Arabidopsis thaliana: one gene and its partners. The protein of the gene in region 1 interacts with the protein of each later gene in a pairwise test. Each region holds a gene or a part of one and is shown in the gene's direction. Other genes may lie near its edges. The genes, in order: AT1G74370, ROP10, AT4G37445 and RUS3.

Evidence for each region.
Region 2: the proteins of AT1G74370 (region 1) and ROP10 interact in a protein complementation assay, tested with the Arabidopsis thaliana proteins (one large-scale study listed by BioGRID).
Region 3: the proteins of AT1G74370 (region 1) and AT4G37445 interact in a protein complementation assay, tested with the Arabidopsis thaliana proteins (one large-scale study listed by BioGRID).
Region 4: the proteins of AT1G74370 (region 1) and RUS3 interact in a protein complementation assay, tested with the Arabidopsis thaliana proteins (one large-scale study listed by BioGRID).

Annotation. Positions count from the first base shown.
Region 1 is NC_003070.9:27,956,617-27,961,103, reverse strand, and holds AT1G74370 (RING/U-box superfamily protein), read left to right. Parts: upstream 1-1,703; 5' UTR 1,704-1,917; intron 1,918-2,073; 5' UTR 2,074-2,118; coding exon 2,119-2,904; 3' UTR 2,905-3,018; downstream 3,019-4,487. Other genes in the region: AT1G74385 (uncharacterized protein), read left to right, coding at 134-379; XXT5 (xyloglucan xylosyltransferase 5), read right to left, coding at 1-1,256; AT1G74360 (Leucine-rich repeat protein kinase family protein), read right to left, coding at 3,193-4,487.
Region 2 is NC_003074.8:17,729,160-17,734,502, forward strand, and holds ROP10 (RHO-related protein from plants 10), read left to right. Parts: upstream 1-2,177; 5' UTR 2,178-2,401; coding exon 2,402-2,506; intron 2,507-2,831; coding exon 2,832-2,919; intron 2,920-3,117; coding exon 3,118-3,227; intron 3,228-3,320; coding exon 3,321-3,384; intron 3,385-3,479; coding exon 3,480-3,544; intron 3,545-3,645; coding exon 3,646-3,711; coding exon of another isoform or gene 3,712-3,753; exon of another isoform or gene 3,754-3,812; coding exon 3,813-3,916; intron 3,917-4,057; coding exon 4,058-4,082; 3' UTR 4,083-4,354; downstream 4,355-5,343. Other genes in the region: protein SUO, read right to left, coding at 5,111-5,343. UniProt on the Arabidopsis thaliana protein: Acts as a negative regulator of abscisic acid (ABA) responses.
Region 3 is NC_003075.7:17,602,869-17,607,017, reverse strand, and holds AT4G37445 (calcium ion-binding protein), read left to right. Parts: upstream 1-2,073; 5' UTR 2,074-2,099; coding exon 2,100-2,130; intron 2,131-2,220; exon of another isoform or gene 2,221-2,239; coding exon 2,240-2,354; intron 2,355-2,447; coding exon 2,448-2,508; intron 2,509-2,595; coding exon 2,596-2,874; 3' UTR 2,875-2,924; downstream 2,925-4,149. Other genes in the region: AGP18 (arabinogalactan protein 18), read left to right, coding at 77-826, 1,006-1,092; AT4G37440 (uncharacterized protein), read right to left, coding at 3,172-3,354, 3,428-3,906, 3,997-4,050.
Region 4 is NC_003070.9:4,719,734-4,725,648, forward strand, and holds RUS3 (root UVB sensitive protein (Protein of unknown function, DUF647)), read left to right. Parts: upstream 1-1,840; 5' UTR 1,841-1,983; coding exon 1,984-2,105; exon of another isoform or gene 2,106-2,214; coding exon 2,215-2,272; intron 2,273-2,352; coding exon 2,353-2,412; intron 2,413-2,488; coding exon 2,489-2,527; intron 2,528-2,617; coding exon 2,618-2,680; intron 2,681-2,780; coding exon 2,781-2,837; intron 2,838-2,949; coding exon 2,950-3,013; intron 3,014-3,108; coding exon 3,109-3,192; intron 3,193-3,284; coding exon 3,285-3,367; intron 3,368-3,457; coding exon 3,458-3,587; intron 3,588-3,662; coding exon 3,663-3,755; intron 3,756-3,877; coding exon 3,878-4,016; intron 4,017-4,087; coding exon 4,088-4,131; coding exon of another isoform or gene 4,132-4,232; coding exon 4,233-4,420; intron 4,421-4,513; coding exon 4,514-4,612; 3' UTR 4,613-4,782; downstream 4,783-5,915. Other genes in the region: AT1G13760 (uncharacterized protein), read right to left, coding at 632-690, 1,230-1,368; AT1G13780 (F-box/RNI-like/FBD-like domains-containing protein), read left to right, coding at 4,948-4,959, 5,040-5,915.

The DNA of each region.
Region 1 (4,487 bases):
TGGCTAAAACCATACAGCTTGAGCACTTGATTGTCTGCAAAATTAAAGGCCCTCTCCATACTCTTCAAGCACCTCTCGACTGCATAATCAGCATAGCTACCACACGGTTTACACCCAACGAAATGGGTCACAAATGGCCATCTCTCATCACCCAATCCCGGGTGATACTTCTCTATCATCTCCTCATACCTATCAACCAAACCTTCCCAAAACCCGTGCAAATAGTATTGATTCTCCACAAACACTTTCTCCATCCATGTATCTTTCTGAGAAAGCAGGAGATAGATCAATGCTGACTGATCATCTGCCTCAAAAGCTGGTCTACCTTTCAGATAAGCCGTCAATACCTTCCCGGCCTCATCACGAATTGGCCCTTTAGGTCCCATAGGCGCCCAAGCATCTAACAAATCCAACGACCACTGACAATTCCTCAGCAGAAAACTACCTGTGTTCAAAGCAATCCACGACTTCTGATCGAACAACAAGTCCGGATAACCATGAATCACTAGATTATGCTTCTGATACCTAGCCAAAGGGATCTGAAACAGTATATCAGTGAACAAAGCATCACTATCCATCCACCAGATCCACTCAACTTCTGGATGAGACAACATCAACCTCCTAATCATTGGTAATTTTGCCCAATAGCCAGCGAGTTCCTTATCCAAATGAGCCATGTTATACACAATCTCAATTCCATGAAGCCTACAATAATCAATCTTGTTCTTCACAGATTTCAAAAGATAATGATCACCAATGGGGTTATCACAAGGCTTAGGAGGAGATCCTGTTAAAAGCAAGATTCGAGCTTTGCCATTGACAGTACTAGGAAACTCAGGATTCTGATTCAACCATACCTTACGTTGACTATCCCAATCCGTGATCTTAGGACCTAGAACATACGTCGCATTGGGATTCATATCACCTTCCTGAGGCTCATCCAAGTCGGTTGGATCCGAATCAGATCGGATCTCAGCTAGAATCCGGTTAGTCTCCTCAATGATGTTCTGGTTAACTGCATCGGCGCTTGAGCTTCCTAGGTTACCAACACCGATAGTGCCACGTAAGACGAGAATTGTGACGAAACCACAGAGAATTGTGATCTTGATGTTGTTAAACGTCTTCTGCATCTGTCTACCTCGAGGTAACAAACCACCACGACCACCTCTTCCTCCACCGTTGGTTAACGTCGTCGTCGGAAGTCCTCCGCCGCTTCCGGATGGTCTTTTATGCGCCGGCGAACCATCTTGACCCATTTTCTTCTTCAACGTCTCTCTCTATAGATTTCACTTACAGGTTTGCGACCATCAACTTTGTTTTCCTCAGATCAGTCTGAGTATGTTTCTGTCTCTCCGTACTTACTTATTCACGGATCTGAGAAAAAGTTCAGATCTTTAGCATGATTCCGATCGGGGAAAGAGAAAGAGAAAGATTTGTCGATCTGAAGAACCCTAATTTAAAAATGGAATTAAACCCAATAATGCGGAAACATTGTCATTACTTAAAAATATATTGTCGGAGGAAAATGCTTCGTTCGATCCAGAAAGCGCACAAGGAGAAGAAGAAACGCGTACAGCTCACTCTCACCGACAACTACTATTTTACTTTAACCGATTTCGGTAATAGAAAATTACGGAACTAAACCGGTAGTTTAATTTTGGCGGTATAGTGAAACGATGCGTTTTGGTAGTTAAACCTGAAAACAGAAACGGATAAGGTGAGGAAATCGGTGGGGGCGGCGGAAACATTGAAAGGCGTTTCAGAGTCACCATGTTTTACGACGCGTGTCTCTTTTTCAGCCGGTTTTCTTCTCGCTGGTTACATCAGAGCTTCGGAGATATTATATAACTCAACGACGTAGCTGTTGCATTTTTTGTTTTTGCAATGATCTTCATCTTCATGACCGGATAAACTCTTGTAAGTGTATTTCGTTTTCTGTAATTCTGTTAATGATTTCTTGGGTTTCATCAAGTTCGTTACTTTTTGTATGTTCTCGGTCCAATCTTTGGGGGTTGGATTGTAAATCTCATATCTGATTATGTAGTGTATGTGTGTGTGATTTTCTTGTTGCAGAGAGAAAGATTCAAAGTGATTATCTTTGTGGATCCCTCCATTGCTATGTGGAATTTAGCTTCAAAATCGATCAGAGAAGGTTTTATATCGAAGGGAGAAGAAGCTGCTACAAAACCAAGAAGAGCTACTTTAGATAGATCAGGAGATGGAAGAAAGACAACAAAGGAAGAAAAATTGGAGTGTCCCATTTGCTGGGAATCATTCAACGTTGTTGAGAATGTACCTTATGTCTTATGGTGTGGTCATACAATCTGCAAGTACTGTCTCTTAGGGCTTCAACGTGCCATTGTCATCAAATCCTCTGCTTTACCATTCCAGCTTCCCTTCTTCGTTGCTTGCCCTTGGTGCAATATTCTCTCTTTAAGGCTGGTTTGCAATGGAACCATCAGATTTCCTTCCAAGAACTTTTACCTTCTGTGGATGGTAGAAAGCATGAATGGCTCCAGATCGGAGGCACCCAGCGACAACAAAAGGGTTGCTTCAGGGCAGAGAGACTTGAGAAATAGGTGTGATGGAGTGAGTAATACCGCCTTGGGTGATGAAGGGTTGCTGGACAATCGCAGCTGGTGGAATGGTGTGACCAGAGGATTCTTCAGAACTGGGAGGCTCCATGACTCGGTACGTAAGTCAATGGCTCTTGTTGCTCATTTGTTGGCTAAGTTTCCTCTGGTAGTCATATTCCTGTTGATGGCTTTATATGCAATCCCTGTGAGTGCTGCAGTTCTCGGGGTTTATTTCTTTGTTACGTTTGCTTTGGCTGTCCCGTCGTTTCTCGTCCTTTATTTTGCCTTCCCGAGCTTAAACTGGCTGATCAGAGAGATTGCAACCTGACTCATTGTACTGTTTCTTTCTTCCTGTATGTTTCCTGACTTGTAAGAAACACGAGATAGAGCCAACGTTGTTTACACTCAATATAGACAAGAAGAAGAGAAGATCTTTATTTTCAGATTGTGTCTCTGTACATTGCGAACAAAACTACCTTTCTCTATCCCTATCTGTCTGATAACAATGAGGTTCTGTGTACAAGAAGAATCAGAAACAATGAAACGAAAAATGGTGAAGAAGAAAACTCTGTTGTTCTGTATAATAAATCTGAAAGAAGAAAAGAAAGAAAGATTTTTACATTTCTATGTAACCTTGTGAAGATAAGCCATTGAAGAGCTCTGCTTTACCGGATATCTTAACCAACATAGCTAGAACTTCTTTCATGTTTGGTCTTGCCTGAGGATGATCAGCTGTACACTTCACACCAATCTTTAGTAGCTCAGTCATTTGCTCAGCTCCGTTCCCTGGTTTGGTCCCTGACAGGGTTATTGGTGAACCTTTGGCTGTCATGTTACCTGTCATTACACGTCTTGCCCATTCGACCAAACACTCTTCTCCTCCATCAACAGCTCTTCTACCCGTCGCGAGTTCCATGGTCAATACTCCGTAGCTGTAAACATCTCCTCTTGTGGTGGCTTGCCAAGTTTGTCCATACTCGGGAGCTACATACCCGATTGTGCCTGCAATCACTGTGCTCACATGGCTATCTCCTACATTTAAGAGTCTTGCTAGTCCAAAATCCGTCACTCTCGCATTCCCGTGTTTATCCAAAAGAACGTTACTGGCTTTGACGTCTCTGTGAACGATGGAAGGGTAGCATTCGTGGTGTAAAAACACTAATCCCCTTGCTACATCTGTGGCTATATCAATACGTTTCTTCCATTGAAGTTTTGTTTTGTCTGTGATGAGCTCCTCTAAGCTCCCGCCTCCCATGTATTCGTGCACCAAGATTTTCTCTGACCCATCTAGGCACCATCCATATAGCCTCACGAGGTTCGGATGTGCCCAATCTCCAAATGCGTTGGCACTTAGAACTTCCATTTCAGCTCTGAACTCTTTCTCTGCTTCTGTGCCTTCCCTCTGAAGCTTCTTGACTGCAACTTCTCTTCCATCAGGCAATACGCCTCTGTAAACAGTTCCATAGCCTCCCCTACCTACCACTCTCTCCTCAGAGAAGTTACTGGTTGCTTTCAGAATGTCAGCGTATGTGAAAGTTGATTTGTCTAAGCGAATGACCTTGATTTTTCCTGATAGCCATGGCGATGATCCACCTGAACTGGAAGTCATGTCATGTCTGGTTTTCGACCCATCTAAGAGATCGATTTCTGCTTCCCTTGAAGCCTTAACAACCATAAGTACAATACCTGATACCACTAAACATGCAATAAACGCCAATGCAAGAGCCAAGGAAATCCAAATCAAAAGAAGAGTTCTTGGCCTGTTTCCTAGGACTTGGTTGGAAATCTTCCTCGTGTTGTTCCCTGATTGGTTGAAGAAACTAGGAAACCGCAGCAGCGGATTTCCAAGAAAGGAGTCTTTGTCAAAGGTTGCTACTTGTCCTGTTGTTGGTATCGCGCCAGAAATGAAAG
Region 2 (5,343 bases), on another chromosome or scaffold:
AGGAATGATCGCACATTCGCACCTGTTTTTTCATTGAAAGATATTACAATTTCGGTTATTAGCTTATTTTCATGTGATCTTCATAAAGAGTATTCCATTAAAATCTGCTATCTATCATTAATTAACAAATAACAAACTCGTCTTGTCTATTAACAAATCATCACGTAGATTACTATATATGCACTAGTTTATTATCTCAATTTGATGGATCATTTGCCTTGTCTCTGATGATACAGCCATACAAGGCCAAAGACATGGGCCTTTTGGGTCTATTGTTTTTTTTGGCAGCACGATAGTGTGTAACCAATTTTATCAAACCCACAAATCAGATATGAAAACCCAATTTAGCTTGGATACTTTTGTTTTGAAATAACAAAATTATACTTTACTAAGATTGATGAATAAGTTTGATAGCAGATGTTACAGAAAAAAAGAAGGAAAAGTTTGGTTGCTATTTTCCAAAACTTAAAAGTCCCCAATTCAGAGTTAATCCTAATTCCTATATATATATATATCTTTCTCTCTTCTATAACTACATATGTGTTTAACCAAGTTATGTTCATTTCTCCTAGCTAGAACCAGGTAAAATTTGTTTTATTGAAATAATCTATACAATTAATTGGTAATGAGTAATGCCAGAATCTTACAAAAAAAATGATGGCAAAATATAACAGTTTTTAATGCTAAACAAAATAAGAAGGATCAACCGATAAAGAAAAAGAAATAACGTACTATAATCAATGCTTCTTAAGCATGTGATTAGCTTTTAGTATCCTTTTAATCCTACTATATTATTTGGGAAATACATTTTAAATGTAACCTTAATTTTTGTAATTAATTACATGACAATACCATTAGAAAAATTTAATCAAAAACAAAATCTTTTAATGACATCATTAAGGTTACCAAAATCATTTAACGACAATATTCATTTCTTAATTATAGGGCTTGTTGAATCTAAAGACGGGTCATCAAAGATTTTCTAAACTAAAGCAAAATATACCGAATATTCAAATATCTTTCTGTTACCAAATTATAAACAAATAAGTTCGTAAAACAATTTAATATTTTATATACGAAATCAATAAATCTTAATCACATAAAAATTTGTACAAAAAAAAAGTATTCAACAATTAAAAATTTATCAAATCTCTGTGTTATATAAGTTTTGATATTATATTCGAATAAAGTGTAATATACCTTTTTAATTTGTATTCTTTAACTAATTTAAGCTAACTAATATATTTGCTAATCTTATACCTATTAAAACCGACTATCGTTTCTTATCTCTATAGTATTTTTGCAAGATTTTTTTGGTGGATTTGGATAAAAGTGCATTCGGGTCATATGGTACATTCCCCTATTAAATAAATATGGTGCACTCCTATGTTATTAGCTAAAATGTTTAGAATTCAGAGTCATATCATAAATAAAATTAATATGAATAAAATAAATGGCTTTTTGGCAAGACGGATTTAGAAGGACGGGTTTTTGAATCAACATTAATAAAAAAGTAAAATATAATTAATCCACCGTTTCAATACGGGTAAAATCTTTAATTTATTATTTTTTAAGACCACTAATATTAAACATATCAAATTATCCTAATTTAGAAAATATTATATAAAACCAAAAATGTTATGTGATATGTATAATGTTACTATATATAAAATTAAACTATAAAATATAAATGTATTAGAGAATGATACAATTTGCAAAACTTTTATATATAATAAATAATTCTTAAATTTTAAAAATTACGACTTAAAAAAAAACTCACGGGACGGGTAAAGAAATTACAGAACGAGTTTTATTTTGGAATTCGGTTATATGGTGGATGTATTTGAATCAATATTTATAAAATTATAAAATATTATTAATATGCTGTTTTAATAAGGGTTAAAACTTCAGTTTTTTAACAATTGTCTTATAGATTCGTGGCATAGCGTTACTTAATAACAATTATAAACCGTAAAATATAAATATTTTATAAAAATAAAATTTGCAAGTTTTAATATATATTACCTTTAAAAAATTAATCGTCTCGCGGTATACCACGGGTTAAAATCTAATACATTTGTAAAAGCGATAAATATGAAACGATTTAGAAAAGTCATGTGGATTAGATGGATATATCATGTGAGCCCCTCTTCTTTCCCTCTCTTCAGTCTTCAAACCAAAAAACGAAAGAGACAAAAATACAAAATTGAAACTTTGAAAATATTGAAAGAAAAGTGAAAAAAAAGAGAGTTTAGTTTTTTTAATCATATGGGGTTTATATAGTTTATTACCACACTTCCTCATGTTAATCACTTCATTTATCTCTCTATTATCTCTCTCACAATCTCTCTGGTTTTTGGGCGTTTCTTCGTTGAAAGTTGTTTGCTTTTGGTGAGTTAGAATGGCTTCGAGTGCTTCAAAATTCATCAAATGTGTGACTGTTGGAGATGGTGCCGTTGGAAAAACTTGTATGCTCATCTGCTACACTAGCAACAAATTCCCTACTGTAAGTTTAAAATTTGATCAAGTAAATCACAGTTTCGCTGATTTTTCATCAAATTGTTCTTTCGGGCATCTCCAATTTCGTCACTTTTAGTTGAATATACTTCTGGGTCTGTCAAATTTCAACTCTTTCACCGAGAATTTTAGCATGGTATTTCAAAGTTAGCTCCTTTTTTAGGGATTGTGCAAAAATAATCCTTTTTTGGAGATTCTGAAAAATCTTACATTGTAAAGTTAGTGGCTTTCTTGATTCACCAGTGTTTCCTCTTACTCTATTGCGCATTTGTTGTTCTCGTGAAGTTAAAGATTTGCTTGATGGATTGTATCAGGACTACATACCAACAGTTTTTGACAACTTTAGTGTTAATGTTGTGGTTGAAGGCATCACTGTGAACTTAGGCCTTTGGGACACTGCCGGTAAGTAACATTTCTGTATCCCTCTCTTGAATATCTCAGAATAACCAAGTTCACTAATGTTATGTGGTTCTAATCTTTCTAACATCTAGCAAGTTTGCTTTTGATTTGGGATTCTTAGATAGAGAACTTTATAGGGAGTGTTGAAGATTAGTGACTGTTAAGAGTTTTATGATTATGAGTACCCTTTCATGTTTGCAGGGCAAGAAGACTATAACAGACTAAGGCCTTTAAGTTACAGAGGAGCAGATGTTTTTGTGTTGGCTTTCTCATTGATCAGCCGAGCTAGCTATGAGAATGTGTTTAAAAAGGTTTGTGGAAATTGGATTCATTGTATTTCTTACTGGGAAAACAAAGAATGAAATGTGAATTTCTGATGTTTTTGAAGCGTTTATTTTGTTCAGTGGATCCCTGAACTCCAACACTTTGCACCAGGAGTCCCCATTGTGCTTGTTGGTACCAAAATGGGTAAGATAGCTATAAGAGTGGAGCCAACATATTTCCTTGTGTAATGCTTGAGAATCACATATATGTAATGTTTCTTACAATGTTCCGTTATCTAGATCTTCGTGAAGATAGACATTACTTGTCTGATCATCCTGGACTGTCCCCGGTAACTACATCACAGGTGTGCTTTTTCAACCTGTAGAAACCGAAAAGATTGTTGTGACATTCTCTAGACTCTCTCTTCTCTAGGTTTTATATGATTTAATCATTCATGTGTTACAGGGAGAGGAACTCCGCAAGCATATCGGAGCGACTTATTACATTGAATGTAGCTCAAAAACTCAACAGGTACACTTGTTCATGTGTGTTTGGAAACTTAGGAGTCATTAGTGTTAGGTGACTCTTTACTTGCAAACTATATGCTTTTCTTTGGTTCATGGCTTTTGCAGAATGTGAAAGCCGTATTTGATGCTGCTATTAAAGTAGTAATTAAACCAGCAGTGAAACAAAAGGAGAAGAAGAAGAAGCAGAAGCCTCGCAGCGGATGTCTCTCGTAAGTTCAATAATCTTCACTCTTTTTAATATATAACTAAGAAATTATGTAATACTAGAATTTGGTTATGCAACCTTTAGCTTCTTCATACAGTTTTGTTTGTTTGTGTAATGATTATAGATTGGCTTCTCTATTGTGCAGAAACATTCTGTGTGGGAAGAATTGATGAGTCAATTCCATCTGATGATTGTTCACTTCTTTTTTTTTCTTTTCTTTTCTAATTGGCCAGTTTGTGATTCTGATAAGTCGGAATTACATAGACTCTGGCAGAGATGAGCCTCAATTAGTAGCTTCTTCGATTCTGTTTGTATATGTGACCCTGATGTTTGTTTGTTTCGATTTGGTTTGACCCTTATAGAATTGTTATAGCCATTTTGTAGCCAAAACTTGGAGTAGTTCACGACTTAACGTGGTTAACACTTGCTTCTTTCGAAAAAAGGTGAATCCTTAATCACATATTCGAATTTATTTGGTCCTATTATGAGATCCAAGACCAAACGACAAAAGCGTGACAAGTAAGAAGAAGCCTGTAAATTTCAAACAGAACCAGCACAAGAAGTAATAAATCTACAAACTGGAAAAAGAAAGATAAAAAGAAGTAACTAATCTTGTGTCTATAATACAACCCCCATCACCTAACGCACACATGTAAAGCCACAATGCGAAAGACTTTTTTTTTTATCATTTTGAACACACTCAAAAGCCACCAACATTTGTTTTATCGCTAGTTTTTTGAGCCGGTGTATAGAGATACACACATGCATGAAAAATGACCTAAAAGTGTGTTTTCACCTTTTAAAACTCTTTGTGGGGAGGTGGTGATGCGGGTCTCTCGCTGAGAACCTTGTTGATGACTCTTCTGAAAGAGAATGGCCACTCCGGTGAATTTAGGACTGTTTTTGGAAGATCTACATGATGGTGAAACCAAGAGGTCAGGTTTGTGTTCTTAAAAAGGTTGAGACCACTGTGAAGTCGCAAATTGACTCACCCATGCCTCATTTGTACAGAGCAGGCCAGCCAATGAAGCCTTGTGGCATCACATTCACTCTCATCTCTTAGTAACTAGCAGAGTAAAAATGTAACTGAAACATTAGTAAGAGAGAGAAAAACAAAAAGAGAGGTCATAAAACACTAAGGTTTGTGGATTTCGAGGGCTTACAAGCTCATGTGGCCTACTGAGATTCTGAGCTACTGTTATTGCCATGAGGACTGCCTATATCCATCCCATCCTCCTTCCGGTTCTTTCCTCTTCAGAACACCACCTGACATTTGATACATTCTTGCTTGATCCTCCTTCAAAGGTAAGGAAGCAGATGAGGATAATTGCCTTGCCACAAGTGTTGATTCGTCTCTTCCCTCTGTTTCATGACCTCCAGGACCAGAATTTAAGTCAAGTCCTGACCTAAACCATTTCGCGCCATTGTCCA
Region 3 (4,149 bases), on another chromosome or scaffold:
AAGAAAAAAGTAAAAGAGCTATTCTGTAAAATAAAAATGAAAAAAGTATTGAATCCTACATTAATAGATACAGGATATGATGTTCTGTTTCTCAACGGCTACATCTGTCTGTGATCCTTTTTTAATCCAACGATCCAGATCTCTCCTCATCGCCTATATAAAACTCACTTCTCTTACATCAAACAAACAACACGCTTGGTTAAACTCCATCAGTACTTTAACCATCACTTCAAAGTTCAAACTCTTTTTTTTTTTTTTGTTTGATCCAAATTTTAACAAAATTATGGATCGCAATTTCCTCCTAACAGTTACATTGATCTGCATTGTCGTCGCCGGTGTCGGTGGCCAATCTCCTATCTCTTCTCCGACCAAATCTCCCACCACTCCTTCTGCTCCAACTACTTCCCCTACTAAATCCCCCGCCGTTACTTCTCCCACTACGGCTCCGGCGAAAACTCCAACTGCTTCGGCTTCTTCACCGGTTGAGTCACCAAAATCTCCGGCTCCTGTTAGCGAGTCGTCTCCACCACCGACACCTGTTCCAGAGAGCTCTCCTCCGGTTCCTGCACCAATGGTTTCTTCTCCAGTGAGCTCTCCACCGGTTCCAGCACCAGTAGCTGATTCTCCTCCAGCTCCGGTAGCCGCTCCGGTTGCTGATGTACCGGCTCCTGCTCCAAGCAAGCATAAGAAGACTACAAAGAAATCGAAAAAGCATCAAGCTGCACCTGCTCCGGCTCCGGAACTTCTCGGTCCACCTGCACCACCGACTGAATCTCCCGGACCTAACTCCGACGCTTTTTCTCCCGGTCCTTCCGCCGACGATCAGGTACATTAGCTTATATCAACAATGTTGATATTTATCTACCGTCACAAGTTCGAGTATCAATGTTAAAAATAACCAATGAGACATTTCAAAACAGTGAACATAGATTTTCAATTTTTGTTATATTGATTTAGTAATTACATATTCGATTAACTAAAATGAAAATATGGAATTGAATGCAGAGCGGAGCAGCGAGCACAAGGGTGTTGAGGAATGTAGCGGTGGGAGCGGTTGCAACCGCATGGGCCGTTCTCGTTATGGCATTCTAAATTATTTATCATTTCACCTCTGATATTTTTTAGTTTTTATATTTTTGACCCTACCATTGTCTCTTTCTTTACGAATTTGGTAATGAGTATTATTTAATTGATTATACAGTTTGTTTTCTTTTATTTTATTTATATGGAAATAATAAGAATTCATATCTGTCAGTGATGAAAATACTGTTTTACACATTGATTGTTCTTTTCTTTTGCAGACAAAAGTCCTTTAGTGATGGGTCCGAGTTCTTTATTGAAAATGACACATTCAATTTTAATGCAGAATTATGGACATTTACTCTAAAATAAAATGTTTGTGTAAGTAACGTCTATGTAACAATAAGCAAAGCAGTTACATAATTTGTTTTAGTCTTTTAAATGTTTAAAGTGTTAGTAAATCAAATGTTGATATTTACGTTTGAAACCAATTACATGTGTTTCTTTAAACAAATATTTACAATTGGAGTATAATTATGCGAGAATGAAAGTGTCAGCTACTTAGTTGGATCTTAGTCTTTTATAATGTGAAGTTGGTAAATATTTATTGAATTCATATCTGATACCCAACTCAAGTGGCCAAGTTGCTATAAATGAATTGTCTAAAATTTATTACTAAACATGTATAGATCCAACCAATCATATAATACAATGCTTTTTATTGTACCTTTCAAATAGCTAGATTCATATTTTTGTCTTGTTCCTTAGAGAACTAGATTTGAAAAAGAAAAAAATTAATGGATATCTAATATGGTAGGCAAAAAGAAAGTGAGAATAGAGGACAAGTCATATTCCCCATGCTTTTATTAAAAGTACATTACTCAACTGTGAAGAAATGGCTAAGATTTTGTAAGTAAAGCACAAGTTATACTTGAACCAAGGTCTTGTGTAGAGATTCAAGATTCTTGGCTTTGCAAAGACACAAACCCACCAAGCCAAGTCTCTGATTCCACACACCAATACAAATTTGTATATAAACATAACATTTTCTTCTTCCTAAAGACTAACTTCTAGACAATATGGGTAGTTCAATGGGCTTTCTCGGAAAAGGTTTTGCAATTTTTTAACCTAACAATTATCGACTCAAATCGTTATATAACCGTTTTGACAAATTTTCGTCCTATATATCTTTCTAAATAGATTTCGATATTTGGCCTAGGGGTACCACCGACGCAGATGATGAATATGGTAATGGGTTCACTCTACAAACAATTTACCCAAAAAGCTATCAACAACTTCGACGATTTCCACGTTGCTGTTTTAGACATCTTTAAGTAAGGATTGTTTCATTATTTGATCATTCGAAAACAATGGTTATGTTGGCCAACATTTTTTTTTTTAAAAGGAATTTTATCTATTGAGTGCAGCAACTTCAACTCGGCTTTACCAGGCAGGCACTTCGATTTCCCAACCCCGGACCAAATAAAGGTGAGTCCTCTCCTCTATCAAAATCACACAAAGAATCTTATAATAATTTCTCTATATTTTTAACACAATGTTGAATGATCTAAACAGGTTTGTTTCGCGCGGTGGAAGGAAGCGAAAGACGAAGAAGAGAAGAAAAAATTGTTCATTGAGTTCATGTCAAAGAGCGTGAAGCCAAGTAAACTCGATGATGTCACTATGATCACCGGAATAGTATCTCCACCGGCGGCAATGGCGGCTAAGAGAGCAGGAGAGAATGTTCCTCAGTTAAAATTAATCAAACTTATACCTGATGTTATATTCGTCCCTACGGTCACCATTTTAGCCATTGTCTCTGCCAAACTCTCTAGACGAATGTATTTGAAATAGTGTTTTAACTAAGCTTTCTTTCTTTTCCAAACAAAAAAAACTTAGCACCGACAAGATATAAAACATGATTGATTGATAATACAAAATAGAGAAAAATATATACACTCTAAATTATAGAAGTAAAGTTCAAAAGTTGATGTAGTTTGAATATATTGTTGACATGAAGAATCAAAACACAGCCACTATAAATATTTCTTTGTACTTTAAAGGCTTAAGAGTTAAGAATATCTTAGAATGAACAATTTTTACTTTTTAACACAAGATCCGATTAGTTACTTGAAAGTTTCCAAACCTTCTTCAGGATCTTCTTCGTAACCCGGCAGAGCCTGACCTTCGTTTTCCTCGCTTTCTCTTCCTGTTGGAAAACCTAGAAGCCATCACAGCATTAGACTTTGGCTTCTCTCTTGAAACCCGACGCCTCTTTGGGTTACTCTCTTCCTTCGTAATGATTTCACGATTGCGCGGTGTTCTTTTCCTTACCTGCGTTGTGTTAGAATGGCATATGAGACCAAAAGGGTTTAGCAAAGTTACACTGAGTTAGCGGAAAACTTACAGGTCTTGATGGACCTTCCTCAATTGAAGCTTGTTCTGTCTTCACTAGATTCTTATCGGGAATAATAGATTTCCCTTCCCTTCGCTTTGATGCTAGAATCTCAGACAGTAAAATATCTGTTGTCTCGTCGTCTTCAGGTGAGACGTGATGAGATGAAACTGAAGCAGATTTCACCGGTTTTTCTTCAGAGATGATCGATTTCTCATCTTCGTTTTTGATAGCCAGCAGGGGCTTTTGTTGTTCTGAGCTGGTGTATACATCAGCAGCTCCAAGTGGATTCACTGTGTTAGCCAGAGGGAATATACTTGGATTTTCACTCAAAACCTTGTCTACGCGGATCTTCAAGTTACGGGCTTCTGACTTTGCTGCTTCAATTTTCAAAAGTATCTGTTCCAAGTACGCATCGCCTTCTCTAAACTCGAGAGGCGGTGTCTCTTCAGAGAAAGCTGTCTCATCCTTGGCGCTCTTATTCTTCTTATCTGATGACCCAAGACAGAAAATATTTTATAAGATCAAAGTTTTCAAAAGGAGTAATATCATATCATAGTTGAGATTTTAGAACACCATACCTAGGTTGCGGGAGTTGTCATTAAGAGCAATATCGGCCAAAGATTTCCGACAATCTATACAAAGATCAGAAACAATAAGATAAGAAATTATTAGACAAGTAATGGTAGATGAACATTAATCACGACCAGAAAGACAAGAACACCAAACTAGTT
Region 4 (5,915 bases), about 23 Mb from region 1:
AATAGGAACAAAATCGAGATCTATCATTACATGTTGCTACAGGCACGGTGCCCTCTTTATAACTTTAAAACATTTTGAAAACAACAAAAGATTACACAGATTCAGAAACGAAATTAATTTGATCCATTATTTAAAACCTCTAAAACCTTGATCCATTTTAAGTAATAGACATCGACCCACTTAACCACTGAACCGTCTTATTGAGTAATTTAACCGGAAAATTTTACTGAACCAGAACCTTCCAATTGAAGAAGAGGCTTTAGTGAATCATCTTCGTCATCGATCATCAGATTCTTCAGATTCGCAAGTAAAAACTAAGAATCGACCAATCGTTTATTACACGAATACTTACTTATAAAGACAATATTAAATAAACCAGATATTTTTATTCCAATTAACCGTCCAAAATAAAAATAGATAGCCGTTTTATTTTAATTTCTCCCTATCCTACAAAGTGAAAGTCGCCAGTATCTCTTTGTACTCCCTCGCTATCTCGAAAGAGTCGTGGATGACTGCGTCGCTGCTTCTCCTGTACTCGAACTGAATGGTAGAGTGATCGACGACAATTAAGGTGACGAACCCAAAGTCCTTGTCGCCGAGCAGGCTCCAGCTGGACTGCATGCAAGAGAAATCATCTAGACTGGCTCCTCCACCTCCCGCAACAACATGAATAGTCCCGTTTAATGGCTCCTGCAAGGATGGTTGGATGGCGTGATCCCGAATACATACATACAGTTTTTCTCAAATAGTTGTGGCCAAAATCCAAATATGTACCATGTGTTTTCTCTGTTATGAACCTAGGTGATATTTGAGCACTAGCTACGATAATATTAGAACTAATTTGATAAGAAAATGGAATGTTTTTTTCTTAAATTTTTCTTAAGTTTTGCTTAAGTTTTGCTCAAGTTTTTCTTAAGTTAGAAAGAACTTTTGGGTTCGTCATTTCTTTTCTGAGAGGGAATTAAAAAGTCAAATTTGTTCTTGCTTTTTAGCTGCTGTTCAAATTCAGAATCTTGTCTTCTTCTCTCTCAATTTGTTCCATAGATCTAATCAGTTGAAATAATGAATCTGAATACTATATATATATATATATATATTCTAATATAATACAATGATGTTTGCATATACTTTTAAAAGACCCTGACAAGAAGAGAAACTAGTAACACATCAAACTTTAAAGAATTTGTAAAGAAATTTAAGACTCATTGCAGAGAAGAGAAGCACAAAACCTCGTAGTAAACCTTGATGAGGAAAAGACCTTGATAGGCGTAGAACACAGTAGAGGTGGATCGACATATTTAACTCTTGTAAGACAAATCGAAGCACTGTAGAAACAAAGAAAAAGGTGCAATGTAAAGCTTTTATCATATAAAATAACACAAAGCTTTACATCAAATCCGAGAACTGTTGGAGAAGCTTTGACATAAGCTTCTTCATTCACATCAAACAGTGTCCTATGAATTGCAACTCCTGACAAAGGTTGCTTTCGATGAGATTTTCCCTCTTGAATTGACACAAGAGTCACCAAAACATCAACAAGTTTCCCATTTCTCACAAGAAGATCATGAAAACAAATGTCTGAAGATGAAGATGAATGTGATACAACTGTGTTCTAGAGATAACTTGTAGGAAACAACATTTATAAAGTTGGTGACTGATGATCAAAACCTAGAAACATAGGCACAAAGCATATAAAGATATGGTGATCATTAGCATTAACATTCCTTTCACACACTTCCGTGACTTGTTGGTTTAAGTGTTTCTAAATCTAGAAATCCAATTGGGAGCCAAAAGAAGACTATGATGTGGACATGTGACCTGCGTTTGCCAAAAACGTACCTTTTACTAACCCAAAGTCCAATCACATTTGGGTCATTGGACTATTCAATTGCAATTGAAACCCAACACAAAGTCCAAAACACTCATAAAGTCTAAACATTTGAATAAGTGATTCTTTTCACTCGTAAGAAGCCAAAATTCGCCATGAGAGAAGAACAAGTCTCTGATTGCGGATCGATTACTCTTGAAGAATGGAATGGTTCTTCTTCCACTAAGCTATTCAAAACAGCAACCATCACTGCCTCCTCTTCTCTCTCTATCCAAAGGTTCTTCTTTATTCCTCTTTGAAATCAATCCAAATCTGATAGTTTCAGTGGATTCACAACAAAATTGAGAAACTTTCTTGGGTTTTCGTCTCCTGTGAGTGATTCATAGGTCTGCTAATCGCTTTAATCATGTGTGGAGACGAGTTCTTCAAGCATTTGTACCAGAGGCAAGTGTTTTCTCTCTTTTTCCCTTTAGAATCTGTCCTCCGGATTAGGGTTTGGCTGAATTGTACTTTGTCTAGTGCAGGGCTTTCCTGGCAGTGTAACTCCAGATTATGTAGGGTTTCAGTTATGGGACACATTACAGGTATGTGAGAATATGCTTGTATGCCTTATAGCTACTGTGAAATTTGAATTGTGACTCTCGGCTATGTTTGTTGCAGGGCCTCTCAACTTATACAAAGATGATGCTTTCCACTCAGGTGAGCTAAAGCTAAAGTTTTTGAGCTTCTGAGTTCTCTATTTTGGTCCAATTTGTCTGCTGCAGCATTTCTGATTTGGACTATTTTCAGGCTCTTTTGAGTGCAATTGGCGTTGGTGAGAAATCCGCAACTGTTATAGGTGCTACATTTCAGGTGAGTTTTTCCATTGCTTACATATAACATTTCACACTAGTTCTCTCAAGAACTATAAAGCGCAATGGAGAATAGTGATTCTATCTTGTGTATTATGCAGTGGTTTCTGAGGGATTTTACTGGGATGCTTGGAGGTATATTGTTCACATTTTATCAGGTGCCTATGTAGCAGATTCTTCCCAATCATAATACACATCGATTCTCTTCCCTTTTCTTTAAGATTTAGATTGGTTACGTTCTTATTTAATGGGAACTGTTCTGTTCTTCAGGGTTCCAACCTGGATAGCAATGCAAAAATGTGGCGCCTAGTTGCTGACCTTATGAATGATATTGGTATGTAAAAGTTAGTTGTCACATCACACTTGATACTAATTGCCTGTATTTGGTTCTCAGTTGAATGACTACAAGCTTTGTTGCTTTTATTGCAGGAATGCTAATGGACCTTCTTTCTCCTTTGTTTCCATCTGCCTTTATCGTTGTGGTTTGCTTAGGGAGCCTATCAAGATCATTTAGTGCGTATCATTTCTTGCATCAAACATTGAAGTTAAGACTTCGGTTTGGATTGATACATCGGTTTTTAACTTTTTTCAATCTTGGCTATTAGCTGGTGTTGCAAGTGGAGCAACCAGAGCAGCTCTAACACAGCACTTTGCTCTTCAAGACAATGCAGCGGATATATCTGCTAAGGTACTCTTTACTTCTTGTCACTGTGAATGATATAGAAACTATAAATGTGAACTTTGAGTAATTCTTTGCTTCTATTTTATCTATTGAAAGGAAGGAAGCCAAGAGACTATGGCAACTATGATGGGTATGTCATTGGGAATGTTGCTAGCTCGGTTTACCTCTGGAAACCCTATGGCTATTTGGCTTTCGTTTCTCTCTCTCACCGTGTTTCATATGTATGGTAAGTCACAAATGAAGGTTAAAGCATAGATCAAATCAGAATTTCTCTCACTGTTTGCCTTTCTTATATATTTAGCAAACTATAGAGCTGTCCGGTGTCTTGTATTGAATTCATTAAACTTTGAGAGGAGTTCAATTCTTCTAACACATTTCATTCAAACTGGCCAAGGTAATTTCGAAATGCGCCATTGATTCTTTCAAGTTTTCAGTGGCTTTCCTTTGTTTTTTATTGGTTTCTCTTTATTATTGCACCATATACCAATAACTTTCTTTAACTAAACGTGTTGCCAGTTCTCTCTCCCGAACAGGTTTCTTCAATGGAGGGTGTATTGCCCTTGTGGGCCACTTCATTGAGGTCAACGAATTCAAAGCCATTGCATAAGAGAGTGCAGTTAGGTGTGAGAGTTTCCTCTCTCCCTCGTCTAGATATGTAAGCTCTATACTAGATTATCATAATTTTCGGGTAAAGAATCGGCTCAAGCTTGACATATTTGTGTGCAGGTTGCAGCTGCTAAATGGTGTTGGAGCTTCTTCATACAAGAATGGTTTGATTGATTTATTTTTCCACAATCTTTCAAGGACATTAGTTTCTCTGTCCATACTTGACGTAAGCTCGGTTCTTGTCTGTTGTTGTACACTCCTGCAGCTAAGTATTTATTGGCTCACATAAAGGGAAATGTTAGTGTGATCTTGCACAAAGATTCAAAACCTGCAGATGTGTTGAAATCATATATTCATGCCATTGTTTTGGCAAACCTTATGGAAAAGAGCACATCTTTTTATTCAGAAGGAGAAGCTTGGATTGATAAACACTATGACGAATTGCTCCACAAGGTAAGATTAAATCACTAGGACCAGTTAAACCGTGTTTTTATGACACTAAAGCTACTGTTTTCACTCTTTTTCTTTCTGTTGTTTCCCATGTAGCTGAGATCAGGAGGTTGGAAAACAGAGCGTCTTCTTTCGCCTTCCATTACTTGGAGAGCTAATTGGATATCTCACACTTCCGCTGCTAAGTTCGACTGAGCTTTATCGCCTTTCAAGATCAAAATAGTTTGTTAACTCGTTGCAAACATACAAAAATATGTTAGTTCTAAGTCATGTAAAACATGTAACCGATACCGGTTTAACCGTAAAATGTCGGTTTAACATTGTATAACGTTTGTTATTAATGGAAAATTAAAGAATTATAATAATGGCAACCGTTTTATTTTTTTGGAAACGCAAAAATTGGAATCGGAACCGCTTCGAACGTATAAATACTTCAATTTTGTGATTCTCTTTCATTATCACTTCATGTTCATCGTTTAGCTCGTAGCTGAAGCTAATTCCACAACTCCGGCCAATAATTCCGCCGGCGAATGGAATCCACGGTGAGTATTTCGTTTATAGTCAGACACTTGTACCCTAGTTTTTGGAATTCGATTAATTTATTGTTTGTTAATGCTATTAGGTCATGCCTGGGTTTGATAGAATTAGCGAATTGCCGGAATCTTTGATTAGTCAAATACTGTTACACCTTCCGACTAAAGCTTCTGTGAAGACGAGTGTTTTATCGACTAGATGGAAGAATCTATGGCTTAATGTTCCCGGACTTGATTTGAACTGCCGTGATTTCCCCTTTCAGAACAACAACGAAAAACTGTTGATTGATTTCATTGACAGATTTCTCCAGTTTAACAATGAGTCACGTCTTCAAAAATTCAAGGTAGATTACAGTAGAGATAAGATCATTAAGTTCTCGGATCGGATTGGTGACGCGATTAGCCGCGGGATTCGAGTTTTAGATGTTGAGAGCAATACCTATTATCGAGATGCTGATGATTGCATTGACTATCCTTGTATCGAGTTCATGCCTCTGAATCTTTATTCGTGTAAGACATTGGTTTCTTTGAAGCTTTCGTATTCGGGTCTTGAGGATCCAGGGTTTGTCTATTTGCCTTGTCTCAAATTCATGCATCTTCGAGAAGTTCGATGGGATAGTAGTGGTACTATGAATCTGGAGAAGCTTGTTTCAGGTTGTCCTGTTCTTGAAGAACTGATTTATCTTCATGATGATAAATTGGTGGTTACGCGTGTGAGATCTCGAAGCTTGAAGAGGTTTTCTATTCCGTTTAGGCATAAACTTTCTTTGTTTAGGAGAGTGACACAGACATTTGAGATTGATGCTCCTGGACTAGAGTATATGAGTCTTAAAGCAGACCATTTCGATAGAATCGTGGTAAAGAACCTTACTTCTTTATTCATGATTGACCTTGATATCAAATTCATTGTCGGGTTTGGCTGGATGTTTGATCCGGAGGACTTACCAAAGAGAAATGAAATCCGT